Drosophila melanogaster: one gene and its partner. The protein of the gene in region 1 interacts with the protein of each later gene in a pairwise test. Each region holds a gene or a part of one and is shown in the gene's direction. Other genes may lie near its edges.

Region 1 (8,402 bases):
GTGGTTTGGAAAATAAGCAACTCCCTCTCCAAATAAATACGCCATGAAATTCGTTATTCGTTATTAAGTATTCGAAAATATTTAGTAGCCATTAAAGAAAATTGCTTAGCCAAGAAAAAAAAAAAAGATTAGAGGAATATATAGTTTGTCTGCTGGCTCCATTGTTGCTGGCCTCCCGAAAACTTGATTAGCGCCTAGTAGACGTAGCCACCATTGCTGCCGTACTTGGTGTCCAATCCATTGTAGCCGGAGTAGCCCGAGTAGCCGGAGTAGCCGGTGTAGCCCGCATTCGCGGGCAAATAGGTGCGCGATGGCGTGGCATAGGTTGTGTACTGCGGCACCGCGTAGTTCTTGTAGCTGGACGAGATGATTGGCGAGGCGTAGCTGCCGCCACCCGAGTAATAACCAGATCCGCTCGAGTACGATGGATACGAGGAGTAACCGGAGGAGTAGCCGGAGTAGCCGCCGCTCAAAGGAGGCAGATAGCTGCGCGACAAATGCGACACATCGCCGGCACAGAAGGCCAAGGAGGCGGCGAAGATGGCGAGTACGGTTACGGAGTTCTGCGGACAAGGAATCGTGGGATTAAAAAGCACTGGGAGTCACTTAAAGTATGCAACGTTGTGCTTTAAAGAGGCTTTGTTCTAAATATATGTTAAAATTTAAAAAATTGCTTGCAAGGAGGAGCATTCAATCACGCTCGTCTTGAGCCCTTACCATTGCGGGAACTTTTGGGTAAGCTCGGTGTGTTGCTTGAGAGGATTGGAATTCCTGTAGCTGTGTATGCACCGGATGGACGCTGGCGATCAACTGTTGCTGATCCATCGACCGAGTGTAGTTTTTATACGCTGGCAAGCGCAAATCGCGATGTGCACCCCAGATACTTTACAACTGATGATTTTAACGCCTTGGCGCGACGGACATGTCGACGGCGGACGGGGCCCATTACTCAACGGGCCAGGCGGTGGCAGGCAACCGGACGGCAGAGTGGTCTCCATAGACTCCATAGAAGTCCCAGATGCTCCGAGAAGTTCGTCATGTTCGCTTGTCATCGCGGCTCGTTCGATGTCCCACGACTCATCCGGCATAGAAGCAACAAATTGTCTCGACGTGGAAAAACCACGTTCGCCTTATGGAGTCCATGCACACGGAGAAAATCTAGTGCTAAGCCAGTATTTTTTCTTATTGGAATAAATATACCAAGACAATGATACAATACAATAAGTAAAATTTGATTGAAGTTGTAAATATTTAATTTCGACTGCATTAAAGTAATATGGGTAAGTTGCCCTAGTTCCATAATTGTTCAGAAATATATGTATGTTCGAATTCTTAGTAAAGAAAATTAAATGTAATATAAGCTGCACCTGCTAATTTCTTCCAGTGTATTCCCAGATTTGGGTTTGGCTTCGCGTTAGTTTTGTTTTTACGAGCGCGGCACGCCCCCTACCGCGTGTGAATTCGAACTCGCACTCGCTCTTTTCCTTAATTATACAAATTTCTGAGTGCTCTTCTGGTTTCTAAGCAATTCAGCAATTCGGGTTTTGTCTCTGATTTTTTATGACATTTGGCGGTTGAGGCGGCCAAAACGCTTCGGTCTTGTTTATCTGTCGTTGCTCATAAATCTTGCGGGCATAACCGTTATTAATTGTTGCAATGGGTCATCCAAATGGGTAAATGTTTCTGTGTCGGTTTCTGTTTCGGATCCCGTCGTTTCCCACTGCAATAATTTGGTTTTTTTTTTTGTAAATTTCCAGACACCGCTGACATCATGAACGGGCAATTAATCACGCTGTATTTGGTGCAATCCTTTTGCGATATTTGATGGTCAAGTTTTTAAATTGATGTCGAACGGCGTTGCCACCCAGGTACGGTATTTGGCATGCACTGGAATAAATTGCTGTGAGCTTTTATGATGAAACTGTTTTCAAATTTGGCGCCTTAAAATATGTAGTTTTAAATACCAATTAAACTATTACCAAACGGTTTATATCGGTGTACAACCATCTGGCATCTGGTCACTCCGAAATAACGGTGCTTTTCCAAAGCCCTGCCCTGATCGACGTGTTCCGTTGGAACCGAACGGTTTTCCTCGTTCAATTCGCTTTCAGCTTTCCAAGCTGCAAGCCATACTTTCTGTTTCCCATTCCCGTTTTAATTTCAATTAACCAGTCCTGCGTGTTAATCATCGTTCAAATTGTGTGTGTTTCGTGTTAAATGTGCCAGGCCGAGCACCAGGTGCACCCCAGCGAGCAAAGGATCCGGGTAGAGAGCCCGAAGATGACCGCCAGCCGGCGAGGATTCAACCTAACCTCGCAGACACGCGCTCACCCATCCAGTGGTGGCTCAACGTCCAGTCGATACGGAAATTGCCAGCGAACACATCTGATCATCAATGGACGCCACGTGGCAATCTCGCTGCTCCTGCTCGTGGGACTTTGCGGTGGTACTGCTGCCGGCACGCCGGGATCAGCGGACACGCGGTGCGATGCGGGACAATTCCAGTGCAGAGACGGCGGCTGCATCTTACAGGCGAAGATGTGCGACGGACGCGGAGACTGCAAGGACAGCTCGGATGAATTGGACTGCGGTGAGCATGGGTGGAATCAATGCCGTCGTTCAGCAGGGGGTGGCTTTAAATGGAGAGGGCATAGCTACTATGGAGTCGGATTAACCAGATTTCTTTAGCTATAATTTTGATGGTTAGGGAATCCTATCTAGAGATGCCACATCCCCATATTCCAATGAATTTACTAGTGAGACTAATATATCCAATAATATATAAACGTGTTGTGACAATCTTATATGTAGTTGAATAACATATAATCTTCATTCCAATCCGGATATCCAGACTACCGACTGTGCCGACCGCCACATTGGTTCCCGTGTGCCCAGCCACACGGAGCCTGCCTGGCAGCGGAACTAATGTGCAACGGCATCGACAACTGTCCCGGCGGCGAGGATGAGCTCAACTGCCCGGTGCGGCCAGGATTCCGATTCGGTGACACCGCTCATCGCATGCGCAGCTGCAGCAAGTACGAGTTCATGTGCCAGCAGGATCGCACCTGCATTCCCATTGATTTCATGTGCGACGGCCGGCCGGATTGCACGGACAAGTCGGACGAGGTGGCTGGCTGCAAGCAGGCGGAGATCACCTGCCCCGGCGAGGGTCACCTGTGCGCCAACGGACGGTGCTTGCGCCGGAAGCAGTGGGTCTGCGATGGCGTTGACGATTGCGGCGATGGAAGCGACGAACGAGGATGCTGTAAGTTAAAATTCTTTGTTGGATACTCCAAGCCTGATGCTCTTGAAACATGCGACTCGGCATCATTTCAGTAAATCTATGTGAGCCACAAAAGGGGAAATTCCTATGCCGGAACCGAGAAACCTGTCTGACCCTGAGCGAAGTGTGCGATGGGCACAGCGACTGTTCCGACGGCAGCGATGAGACCGACCTCTGTCACTCCAAGCCGGACTGCGATGCGAAGAAGTGTGCGCTGGGAGCCAAATGCCACATGATGCCTGCCAGCGGAGCCGAGTGCTTCTGCCCAAAGGGATTCCGGCTGGCTAAATTCGAGGACAAGTGCGAGGACGTTGACGAGTGCAAGGAGCAAGATGATTTGTGCAGCCAGGGATGCGAGAACACATCGGGCGGATATCGATGCGTCTGTGATGCGGGCTATCTGCTGGACAAGGATAATCGTACGTGTCGCGCAGTCGTTTACGGCTCTAAGGAACAGCAGCCCCTTCTGCTGTACACCACCCAGATGACGATTATGGGAATGCATCTGCGCGAGGATAACGTACGAAATCATGTCTACCAGGTGGCCGGGAATCTGAGCAAGGTCATTGGCGTGGCCTACGATGGCAGCCACATCTATTGGACCAACATCCAGAACGAAGCGGAGAGCATTGTGAAGGCTAACGGAGACGGTTCGAATGCGGAAATTTTGCTGACCTCCGGCCTGGATGCACCAGAGGACCTGGCTGTCGATTGGCTGACGCAGAACATTTACTTCTCGGACAACATAATGCGGCACATAGCCGTGTGCTCGAACGATGGACTAAACTGTGCCGTTCTGGTCACCCAGGATGTTCACCAGCCGCGATCACTGGCTGTTTGGCCCCAGAAGGGCTTGATGTTCTGGACGGATTGGGGTGAGAAGCCCATGATAGGGCGCGCATCCATGGACGGCAGTCGGTCGCGACCGATTGTCAGCGATAATATCGAATGGCCCAATGGTATTGCGCTGGACATGCACCAGCAAAGGATCTACTGGGTGGATGCCAAGTTGGGCAGCGTGCAAACGGTTCGACCCGACGGCACTGGTCGGCGCACGGTGCTGGACGGCATGCTGAAGCATCCCTATGGCCTGGCCATATTCGAGGATCAGCTGTACTGGTCAGATTGGGCAACGAAGAGTGTGCATGCGTGTCACAAATTCTCCGGCAAGGATCATCGCATCCTGGCCAAGGATCGTACCATTTACGCCGTACACATCTATCATCCGGCCAAGCAGCCCAACTCGCCGCATGGTTGCGAAAATGCCACATGCTCGCACCTATGCCTGCTGGCCGAACCCGAAATCGGTGGTCACAGCTGCGCCTGTCCGGATGGCATGCGGCTGGCGCCGGATCATCGGCGCTGCATGCTAATGGAGAAGCGCCAACGATTGTTCATTGGCCTCGGTCAGGTGCTGCTCGAGATCGAGCACACCGCCTTTGGGCGCCATCAGGTGAGCAAGTCATACACGCTGCCCTGCTTGATCAACGAAATGGTGTACAATCGCATCAATGGCAGCCTGATAATAGCGGACAATGACCAGCGACTGATCCTGGAGTTTCAGCCAGAGTCGCACGAGAGCAACGTCCTGGTCCGCTCCAATTTGGGCAATGTGAGTGCCCTGGCCTTCGATCATTTGAGCAGGAATCTATACTGGGCGGATACGGAGCGGGCTGTGATTGAGGTGCTCTCACTGCAGACGCGCCATCGTGCGCTGATCCGCTTCTTTCCGGGCCAGGAGGTGCCAATTGGACTCACTGTTATGCCCGCGGAGGGCTATCTGTATGTTGTGCTCAAGGCCAAGCGGCACAGCCACATTGACAAGATACCGCTGAGCGGCAAGGGCGAACAGGTGCATGTATTCGAGGACGATCTGGGCGATGATGATATCAAGCTGGTCACCGATTACGAGACCCAAACGATCTTTTGGTCAGACAGCGATCTGGGCAGGATTAGCTACTCGAATTACAGGGTGCCGCACAGCCAAATCTTTCGGGGCAAGCTTAGGCGTCCCTATAGCCTGGCCATGGTGCATCACGATCTGTTTTGGAATGAATTGGGTACGCCAAGGATTTACTGGACGCACAAGAGCAATATGGGGCCGCGAAAGGTGATCGATATAATGGAGAAGGACGATCCGGCCGCCATTATGCCGTACGTGCCTGTGGCCACGCCCAATGGAATTCCGCTGGCCGCCAGCTCACCCGTCGGCCAGGAATCGCATCCCTGCCAGCAGCAGAATGGCGGCTGTTCGCACATCTGTGTGGGCGAGGGACCCTACCACTCGATCTGTCTATGTCCGGCCGGATTCGTTTACCGGGATGCGGGTAACCGCACCTGCGTGGAGGCTCTGGACTGTGAGTTCCGTTGCCACAGTGGCGAGTGCCTCACAATGAATCACCGTTGCAACGGACGACGCGATTGCGTGGACAATTCGGATGAGATGAACTGCGACGAGGAGCATCGGCGCAAGCCAAAGGTTCTGTGCTCGCCCAACCAATTCGCCTGCCACAGCGGGGAGCAGTGCGTCGACAAGGAGCGGCGATGCGACAATCGCAAGGATTGCCACGACCATTCGGATGAGCAGCACTGCGAGAAGTTCGGTAAGCGAAACGAGCTGCACTTGGTGGATAATTTGAATTTGAATACTCTCTCTACTCCACAGACAAGAGCAAGAAGTGCCATGTCCATCAGCACGGGTGCGACAATGGAAAGTGCGTGGACTCGAGCCTGGTGTGCGATGGAACCAATGATTGCGGCGATAATTCCGACGAATTGCTGTGCGAGGCGACATCGCGATGCGAACCGGGAATGTTCCAGTGCGGCAGCGGATCCTGCATAGCGGGCAGCTGGGAGTGCGACGGGCGGATCGATTGTAGCGACGGATCCGACGAGCACGACAAGTGTGTCCATCGCAGCTGTCCGCCGGACATGCAGCGCTGTCTGTTGGGTCAGTGTCTGGACCGGAGTCTGGTGTGCGATGGCCACAACGACTGTGGCGATAAGTCCGACGAACTGAATTGCGGCACGGACTCATCCACGATGAACATATCCTGCGCGGAAGATCAATACCAATGCACGAGCAATCTCAAGATCTGTCTGCCGTCTACGGTTCGCTGCAATGGCACCACCGAGTGTCCGCGCGGCGAGGATGAGGCCGATTGCGGTGATGTGTGCAGCATATATGAGTTCAAGTGCCGCTCCGGTCGAGAGTGCATCCGGCGGGAGTTCCGCTGCGATGGCCAGAAGGACTGCGGCGACGGCAGTGACGAGTTGAGCTGCGAACTGGAAAAGGGCCATCACAATCAGAGCCAAATTCAGCCGTGGAGCACCTCGAGCCGATCCTGTCGGCCACATCTCTTCGATTGTCAAGACGGCGAGTGCGTGGACTTGTCGCGGGTATGCAACAATTTCCCGGACTGTACCAACGGCCACGACGAGGGACCCAAGTGCGCCACCGCCTGCCGTTCGGCATCGGGTCGCCAGGTGTGCCAGCACAAGTGCCGCGCCACACCAGCCGGCGCCGTGTGCTCCTGCTTCGATGGCTATCGCCTGGACGCGGATCAGAAGAGCTGTTTAGACATTGACGAGTGCCAGGAGCAGCAGCCATGCGCTCAGCTATGCGAGAATACCCTCGGCGGCTATCAGTGCCAGTGCCATGCGGACTTTATGCTGCGCCAGGATCGCGTTAGCTGCAAGAGCCTGCAGTCTGGCGCCACTCTGCTCTTCAGCAGCTTCAACGAAGTGCGAAACCTAAGCGAACAGCCCGTTATGCTCAATGTGGCCTGGTCGGCGAATGATTCGAGGATCACCGGTTTCGATCTGGCCATGCACCGGCAAATGGGTTACTTTTCCGCCGAGGACGAGGGCATCGTCTATCAGATCGATCTGCAAACGAAGGTGATTGTGCGGGCTCTGGGTCTGCCCGCACCGACGAAACTCTCCGTGGATTGGGTCACCGGAAATGTTTATGTGCTCAGTGGAGCGCAGGAGATCCAAGCGTGCAGTTTCGTGGGACGCATGTGCGGCCGCATTGTGCACGTGAAGAGTCCCAGGCACGTTAAGCATTTGGCTGTGGATGGCTATCACGCCCGGATCTTCTACATAGTCATACGCACCGAGGGCTATGGCCAGACGAGCTCGGAGATTCACATGGCTCGACTGGACGGCAGTCGCAGGGATATGCTGCTGCAGCGAAGCGAAAGCTTCATGACCGCCCTGACCACCGATCCGCATCAGCAGCTATTGTACTTTGTGGACCAGCATATGCGCACGCTGGAGAGGATTAGCTATAGGCTTAAAACGGGTCCCATGCGTCGACCGGAGATAATGCTGCAAAAGTCCAACGCTCTGATGCATCCATCTGGGCTGAGTGTGTACGAAAATAATGCGTTCATCGTGAACCTGGGCTCCGTGGAGGCGGTGCAGTGCGCACTGTACGGATCCCGCATCTGTCACAAGATCAGCATTAACGTGCTGAACGCCCAGGACATTGTGGTGGCGGGCAGGTCGCGTCAGCCGCAGAAGGCGTCGCATCCATGCGCCCATGCCCACTGCCATGGACTGTGCCTGCAGGCGGACTACGGTTACGAATGCATGTGTGGCAATCGTCTGGTGGCCGAAGGCGAACGGTGTCCCCATGGCTCTGGCAATGAGGTGGCCGTGTTGGGTGCGGTCAACAGCCTGGAATTGGAACATGAACACGAGCAGAACGGTCACTTTCACTGGCTGATGGCACTGTTCGTCCTAGCCGCCGGATCACTGATCGCCGGACTCGGGTACATGTACTATCAGTACCGGCAGCGCGGCCACACGGATCTCAACATTAACATGCATTTCCAGAATCCGCTGGCGACGCTCGGCGGCACCAAAGCGTTCCTGGAGCACGAACGCGCCGAGGCGGGAGTCGGCTTCACCACGGAAACGGGAACGGTGTCCAGCCGCGGCAGCAACGACACATTCACCACCACCAGCGCCACGTCCTCGTTCGCGGCTCAGCAGTTTAGTGTGCCGAATGCGCTCCAGCGACTGCTCCGTCCACGACAGTCGGCGTCCGGCGATCCGATGGCTCAGGAATTGCTTCTCGAGAGCCCCAGCAGAGTGAGTAGCGATGGGGGTC
Region 2 (6,826 bases), about 13 Mb from region 1:
CTGGCGCGATGGCTCCAATCTCACTCTCCAAACGGTGGAAAGCAGGCGAAGGAACAGAGCACACCGAGTCACCAAGGTCATGCCTCGGGAGTCCTTCTTTCGCTTCTTTGCTCCGCCGCAGGCCTTGGACCTGTCGCTCGCGGATGAAAAGACCAAGCTGATCCTTGGCAACGATTTCGAAGTGGGCTTCCTGCTACGCACCCAAATCGTCCCGAAGGCGGTGCTCTTTTACACGGGCGACCTAGTTGACAGCCTGAGCGCGGCCTCTCCGGACAGTCGCTCCTTGTCCTCGGAGGCGGAACAGGAGCAGGTCTTGTGAGTGCGACGCGACTAGCTGTTTGCTAAACAAAATTTACAAGTGAATGTGGTAATGATTTCTTATTAAATTCTACAGTTCGGCCAAAGCCAGTTCATCACAAATAAGGTGAACCCCTTCCCCTCCTAGCGCTACTTAAAAATGCTGGTGTAGTACTCCTCCTCCAGGTCGTACAAGTCCATGGCCATTTCGTCCCTAAGTTTCATCAGCTTCTTGTCGCACTCGCTCTGTGTGTTCCTGAACAGCTGCGAATTGTTTGTGATGGCCTCGTTGACCGAGTGAAAGTCGTTGAGGATTAGGTACTGTTTTAGGTCGGCCACCAGCTTCATCAGAGACTCGCCGGCACGGACTATAAAGCGGAATGCATGAAGGAAATGGCTCGAATCTGGTTCCCAGGGAGTGGATTTACTCACCCATGTTGGCCGCGCGGACCTGCATTTCCAGGGCATCCTGTTCGCACTGCGTGGTCTTCGAAATCTGGCTGTGGCTCTCACGGCGCGCCAGCTTGAGTATTTCTGGAGGAGAACACGGTATTACAATCTATTGCTCGGAGCAACTGAGCCGCACTTACCTTCAAAATTCTCCAGCATGCTGCGAACGTCGTCCTTGAGGCGCGCATTATAGGACTTCAGAAGCGCCTCCTTCGACTGGGGCAAAATGGTTGTCCTGGATCCGCTGGCCATTGTCCTAATTCTACCTTAACTTAGTTCAACAATTTATTTTAGACAAACCCGCTTCTCGTCGTTTTTTATATGTACAGTGTGACCACGTATTTTCCGACCATAAATACCGTCCTAACTCACCGACGCCAACTTGACGCAAATTCATTTGACACACATTATATACCAAAGACATGCCGCCCGCCAACTGCAAAGCGTCACAAAAAGTTCAGTTTTCTGGTTAAGCGGTTGGTTAAAATCGTAATAATTGTGTTTGTGCTTAAATATCCTACGTTCGATGGCGTCTTTAAATGCAAGCCAACAAAATGAACTACGAAGTCAGCGACGAAATTCTCGTCGGCCGCTAATGCCACCAGAACGTGGTGAGTCTGCACACAATTTTAAAAATTTAAAAAGAATGGGCAAAGAGACACGCCTGCCCCACATTGAACCCATTTCAAGTGGGCGCCACGCGGCAATGCTAAGGAACATTTAGTTTTAAGTTAAATTCCAAGTTCTTTATTGGAAAAGTAAAGTTAACAGTTTCTACCGTTATAATGGTTCGGTTCAGTTAAATCTTCCGTGCGAGAGTGTATGTGTGTGAACTATAGCGAACAGTGTGAAATATACCAAATACCATGGCTATACTGTTGCGTTATCGATAGCCGATAACAGCTACGAGTTAAGCTGCGAATGTATACAATTGCATATAAAATCTGGAATTTGTGAAAACCGGAGCACGATTACCCACAACGAGGACGACGGAGGATCCTTCCGGCGTGTGATGAATTAATGCTAAAGTCGATCAGCGGAGGCGTTGGCGTGGCATCCACGGAACGAGGTGGTGGCGGAGGAGGCTGCGGAGGAGGTGGAGCAGGAGGAAGCGCCTCTGGGAGCAGGAGTACCAGCGGAAGCGGGCGCGCTAGCTGTGGGCTGGGCTCCAGTTCGATTTCCAGTGGATTGAGTGCGGTGTGCGGATTTGTGACCGGAGCTAGTGGCGGAGGTGGATTTGAGCGGGATCGCGACAGGGACAGAGGATTAGCCAACATCAGCGGTGGCAGCACTCCTGCCGGGATCCTTTATTGCCCCGCTTGTATGGCAGCTGCCAATCAGCAGAGTCCCAGCCAGAATTCGAGTCCGCACCACGAGAGTTTCTTCTTGCGCAGCTCCTTCAAGTCGAGCAAACGGAACAAGGCCAGGAAAAGCGCCTCCACCGCCGGCTGCTTAGACGCCCAGCACATACGGGCGAATCTCCGAATGTCCATGTCCAGTTCAATGAGAAGCTCTAGAGGGAATGGCGGTGGTGGAGCGGCCTCCTCCTCGCATCCTCCGGGCAGCAGCTGCAGCAGCGGACCAGGAGGATCGGGATGTAGTATGGCATATGACGCGGCAAGCAATGCCAGCAGTGGAAGTGGCAGTGGAAGCGGAAAGGCCACTTCCCCGGGTAGCTACAGCTGCAATGCCCTGAACGTGGACTTCACCTCCTACACGGCCACGCATCAGTGGACCAGGATGCTCGAATGCGCCGAGTTCGTGGGCGCCAAGTGAGTTGTGAAGCCATATAGATGAAAATATCTATATTCCCTATCCCTTTCTTCCCAATCAGGCGAAGCAAGCACACAGTGGTGGCCTACAAGGATGCGATGTTTGTATTCGGAGGTGACAACGGCAAGAACATGCTAAACGACCTGATTCGCTTCGGCGTTAAGGACAAGTCATGGGGCCGCGCATGTGCAACAGGAACTCCGCCTGCTCCGCGATACCACCACTCGGCGGTGGTGGCCGGCAGCTCTATGTTCATCTTTGGGGGTTACACCGGCGACATTCACTCCAACTCAAACTTGACCAACAAGAACGATCTGTTCGAATACAAGTTCCAGAGCGCCATGTGGGTGGAATGGAAGTTCTCCGGACGCCAGCCGGTTCCTCGATCCGCTCACGGAGCAGCCGTGTATGACAACAAAATGTGGATCTATGCGGGCTACGATGGCAATGCTCGGCTGAACGACATGTGGACGCTAAACCTCACCGGTGAAAATCAGTGGGAGGAGGTGGATCAGCTGGGCGATCGTCCGCCCACGTGCTGCAATTTCCCCGTGGCAGTGGCCAGGGACGCCATGTACGTCTTTTCGGGGCAGAGTGGCTTGCAGATAACGAACTCGCTCTTTGAGTTCCACTTCAAGACGCGAACTTGGCGACGCATTTCCAATGAGCCCGTCTTGCGAGGCGCTACCTCAGCTCCGCCCTCGCGACGATATGGCCACACGATGGTGCATCACGATCGGTTCCTGTATGTCTTCGGGGGATCGGCGGACTCAACGCTGCCCAACGATTTACACTGCTACGATCTAGACTCGCAGGTCTGGTCCGTCATCCAGCCTGAACAGAATTCGGATGTGCCTTCGGGTAGAGTGTTCCATGCCTCGGCAGTCATCTGCGATGCCATGTACATATTTGGCGGAACCGTGGACAATAGTGTGAGAAGGGGCGACACCTATCGCTTCCAGTTCTCGTCGTACCCGAAGTGCACGCTGCGCGATGACTTCGGAAAATTCTTCCAGGACAAACAGTTCTGCGACATTCAGTTTATTGTCGGAGCGGAGGAGATTCGCATACTAGCACACATCGCCTTTGTGGCGGCGCGCTCGAAGTATCTGAGGAACAAGATTTTGGCAGCCCGGGAGGCACGCCAGCAGCAGATGGAGAAGGTCTACGGGGTGGGCCAGGTAGATGCACTGGCTCTGAATGCGGGCGCGGGCGGGGACCGCGGACCCATGTTGGAGGTGCGACTGGCCAACGCCTCCCCCGAGGCCTTTGAAATCATATTGAATTACATTTACACCGATCGAATTGACTTGAAGGACACTTACAGCAAGAACATCATCATTCTGATCACAGATATTTACCAACTTGCCGGTTTGTTTACCATGCCGCGGCTGGCCCACGGCTGTATCCAGTATTTGGACTACAAGATTAACAAGCTTAACGTGCTGGAGGCGCTCTACAATGCGGATAAGAGCAAGTGAGAGCAGATATAGCCTTTGGATCGTATTTAAATGAAACTAATTTATGTAAACACTCCCCAACACAGTATTAAGATCATTAAGGATCACTGCATGCAGTTCATCATCAAGGAGGAGAACTTCACTGACGTGGTCATGTCCAGTGAGTTTAGCGATTTGGACAAGCCTCTGCTGGTCGAGATCATCCGCAAGCGCCTGTATCCCAGCAAGCTGGTGATAGATACCAGCTATGAAGGCAATATAGGTACGGTTCGTCGATAGTTGACAAATTGGTAGCTGAAGGTATAATTTTTGATTAGGAACCACTTTGGAGATCGATCTGTGTGCCTTTTTGGAGTCCACTGGCAAAGATTTCTGCGACATTAGCCTGGTGCTAGAAGATCATGTGATACCAGCCCACAAATCTGTGTTGTCATCGCGCTGCACCTACTTTCAGGGCATGTTCCGATCCTTTATGCCACCGGACAACACAGTCAATGTGAGTTGAACTTTGTAGAAATCGCTGATTGATAAGTAGTTCCCGTGATAATAGTATACACATTTAAATTGTTGAAGCCAGTATTGATCCTGAGTAACATTCAATTCCGCTCTCACCCAGATCCAAATTGGAGAGATTTCTCCCTCGCTTGAGGCGTTCCACTCCCTGCTGCGCTACATCTACTACGGCGAGACGAAGATGCCGCCGCAGGATGCACTTTATCTCTTCCAGGCGCCGTGCTTCTATGGCCTTGCCAACAATCGGCTTCACGCATTCTGCAAATACTCTCTTGAGCACAACATTACGTTCGAGAACGTGCTGCAGACGCTGGAGGCTTCAGACATCACAAAGATCTATGATATTAAGGAGTACGCTCTCAAGCTGATCGTCAAGGACTTTGCGAAGGTCGCAAGGCTGCCGAAAATAGCCGGCTTGTCGCGCGAACTGTTGCTGGAGATCATACGCGCTGTGGCCGATTCGCACGGCGAGTTTCTCACGCGGATCAATATCAATACAGATATCTGAAAACTGGTGCTGCTCCAGCCGGCATTGCAGTTGTTGCTCGCCTGGTTGCAAATCGGACGTAGCACGTAATGCGGCAGTAGCGGTTGGCAGCGCCGAATCACATAATTTATTTATCATTAAACGATTCATCTCCCATCGATCGCCGCACCCATGCATCTGGTCAGCGATTCTCGACAGACCCCGACCCCATTGAGATATTGCATCAGAAAGAGAGAGACGAAGCGATCGCGACTCATGCAGAAAACCTACGGTATGGCTATTGTTCTTAAATGAGGCGAGCGATGGACAAGCCACCAGCAGGCGCGCTTTGAGTGAATTACTGCAGAGTTTGCATCGCGCATGCTGCCTCATATATATAAACCCTCTATATGCACTCAGTATTAACCAAGAATGCACCTCCAATCGGTTCAAATAAGATCGTATTGGGCTTCTCTGTCTCGAAACTATAGGTTTTGTTAAAACACTTGATCTTTAAACCTTATAGTTGCAGTTTACCATTTGGATACCAATTTTCCCACTTAAGCATCTAGAAGTGAACTTTGCAGTCAGGGAGGTACACAGTCTTTGCTCCAAGAGATTTAAGGACCGAATGGACCTTAAATCACGAAGGTGAGTGTGGGAACACTTTGAAAGCCGAAACCTTCACTTATATATTTTTTCAGATTGAACGCACCCTTGCTTTAACCTGATGAATCCTACTCTAGGTCCTTACAAAGTTGTATATGTTGGAAATATACAAATTTGAATACCCTTGCAAAACTAGCTTGCGTAAAACTGCTTTGTAGTCGAAAACCGAATGTCTAAACATTTCATAATACTAACATTTGGAATGCAGACTAACTTATTTTGCAAGGGTCATAGGCTTATAGTCTCCGAAGTCCGAGGGTCTTCCCTTCATGTTATACTAATACCCAAGTACAACTTACTAGTTGATATAGATCTAAATCTACTCGTTTTAATTGGTATTTAACTATATATATATATATATATATATATATGAAACTGAATGTTATAAGCTAAGGAACCATTAAAGCATCTGACACATCATCCACGTGAAAAATCGCCAAATTTGTTTACGATTGTTTGAATTTACTATAGCGTTGTGTTTTTACTGATTTGCCGGAAGTTCTTTCGACTTCGAATATAAATTTTAATTCTTGTTTCCGAAATTGTGATAAATCAGTTTATTTATGATTGCATTGTGACTATGTTTAAGCAATATTTAAGAATCTTTGGTTTCATTTCGAATATTTTCGTTATATTTTTCGTCGTTTGTTTTAGTTGCTGTCTTTGCTATATGACGAGAATTCAGAATAAACATTATTATTATACACATACGCTAGCACTGTTGATCTGTGTTAAATGGCAAATCTTTGTGGGCTTACCAAAAAAACGTGGCTAAATAATGGAATTCAAGACAAACAAACTGAGCCAATTGTTTTGGGCTGCGTTTTTCCCAGCTGGTTTGGCATAGATAAATGTATTTCAATGGAATTAAAACAAAACAAAGGCTGCAGCCGCAAGTTGGAGCTGCCGTACGGGGGTGGCAAGAACCCGGGAAGCCAGCCGAAACTGTAGCCAAGGCCAGGACAATGACAAGGACTTCACTTTGGGGGTTAGTCCTGCTCAGAGCCGCTTATCAAATGCAAATTACAAAATCAAATATGCCAACGGCAGCAGGTTAGAAGGATCTTCTCTTCGAGATGGAAATGCCACTTACAGATACAACTGACAGTAAGCCGAATTGAATTGAATTGCCATGGAGTCTGGGAAAATTATTTTGCCCAGTCCTGCCTCTCAGGTGGAGTTCAGCCTGCTTCGTGTT

The links.
Region 2: the proteins of yl (region 1) and Lztr1 interact in a two-hybrid assay, tested with the Drosophila melanogaster proteins (one large-scale study listed by BioGRID).

Annotation. Positions count from the first base shown.
Region 1 is NC_004354.4:14,191,162-14,199,563, forward strand, and holds the start of yl (yolkless), read left to right. Parts: upstream 1-2,052; 5' UTR 2,053-2,217; coding exon 2,218-2,590; intron 2,591-2,851; coding exon 2,852-3,265; intron 3,266-3,336; coding exon 3,337-5,886; intron 5,887-5,948; coding exon 5,949-8,383; coding exon of another isoform or gene 8,384-8,402. Other genes in the region: CG13403 (uncharacterized protein), read right to left, coding at 195-563, 718-825. UniProt on the Drosophila melanogaster protein: Cell surface receptor involved in uptake of vitellogenins (yolk proteins) into developing oocytes by receptor-mediated endocytosis. May also mediate uptake of apolpp/apolipophorins and their incorporation into yolk granules.
Region 2 is NC_004354.4:922,389-929,214, reverse strand, and holds Lztr1 (leucine zipper like transcription regulator 1), read left to right. Parts: upstream 1-1,632; 5' UTR 1,633-1,767; coding exon 1,768-2,519; intron 2,520-2,581; coding exon 2,582-3,997; intron 3,998-4,066; coding exon 4,067-4,242; intron 4,243-4,297; coding exon 4,298-4,476; intron 4,477-4,596; coding exon 4,597-5,001; coding exon of another isoform or gene 5,002-5,070; 3' UTR 5,071-5,610; intron 5,611-5,663; 3' UTR 5,664-6,326; downstream 6,327-6,826. Other genes in the region: CG3708 (uncharacterized protein), read left to right, coding at 1-319; MED22 (mediator complex subunit 22), read right to left, coding at 448-665, 730-831, 888-999. UniProt on the Drosophila melanogaster protein: Inhibitor of Ras signaling. Acts as a substrate-specific adapter of a BCR (BTB-CUL3-RBX1) E3 ubiquitin-protein ligase complex that mediates ubiquitination of Ras. Together with Nf1, plays an important role for normal sleep behavior, mainly during the night.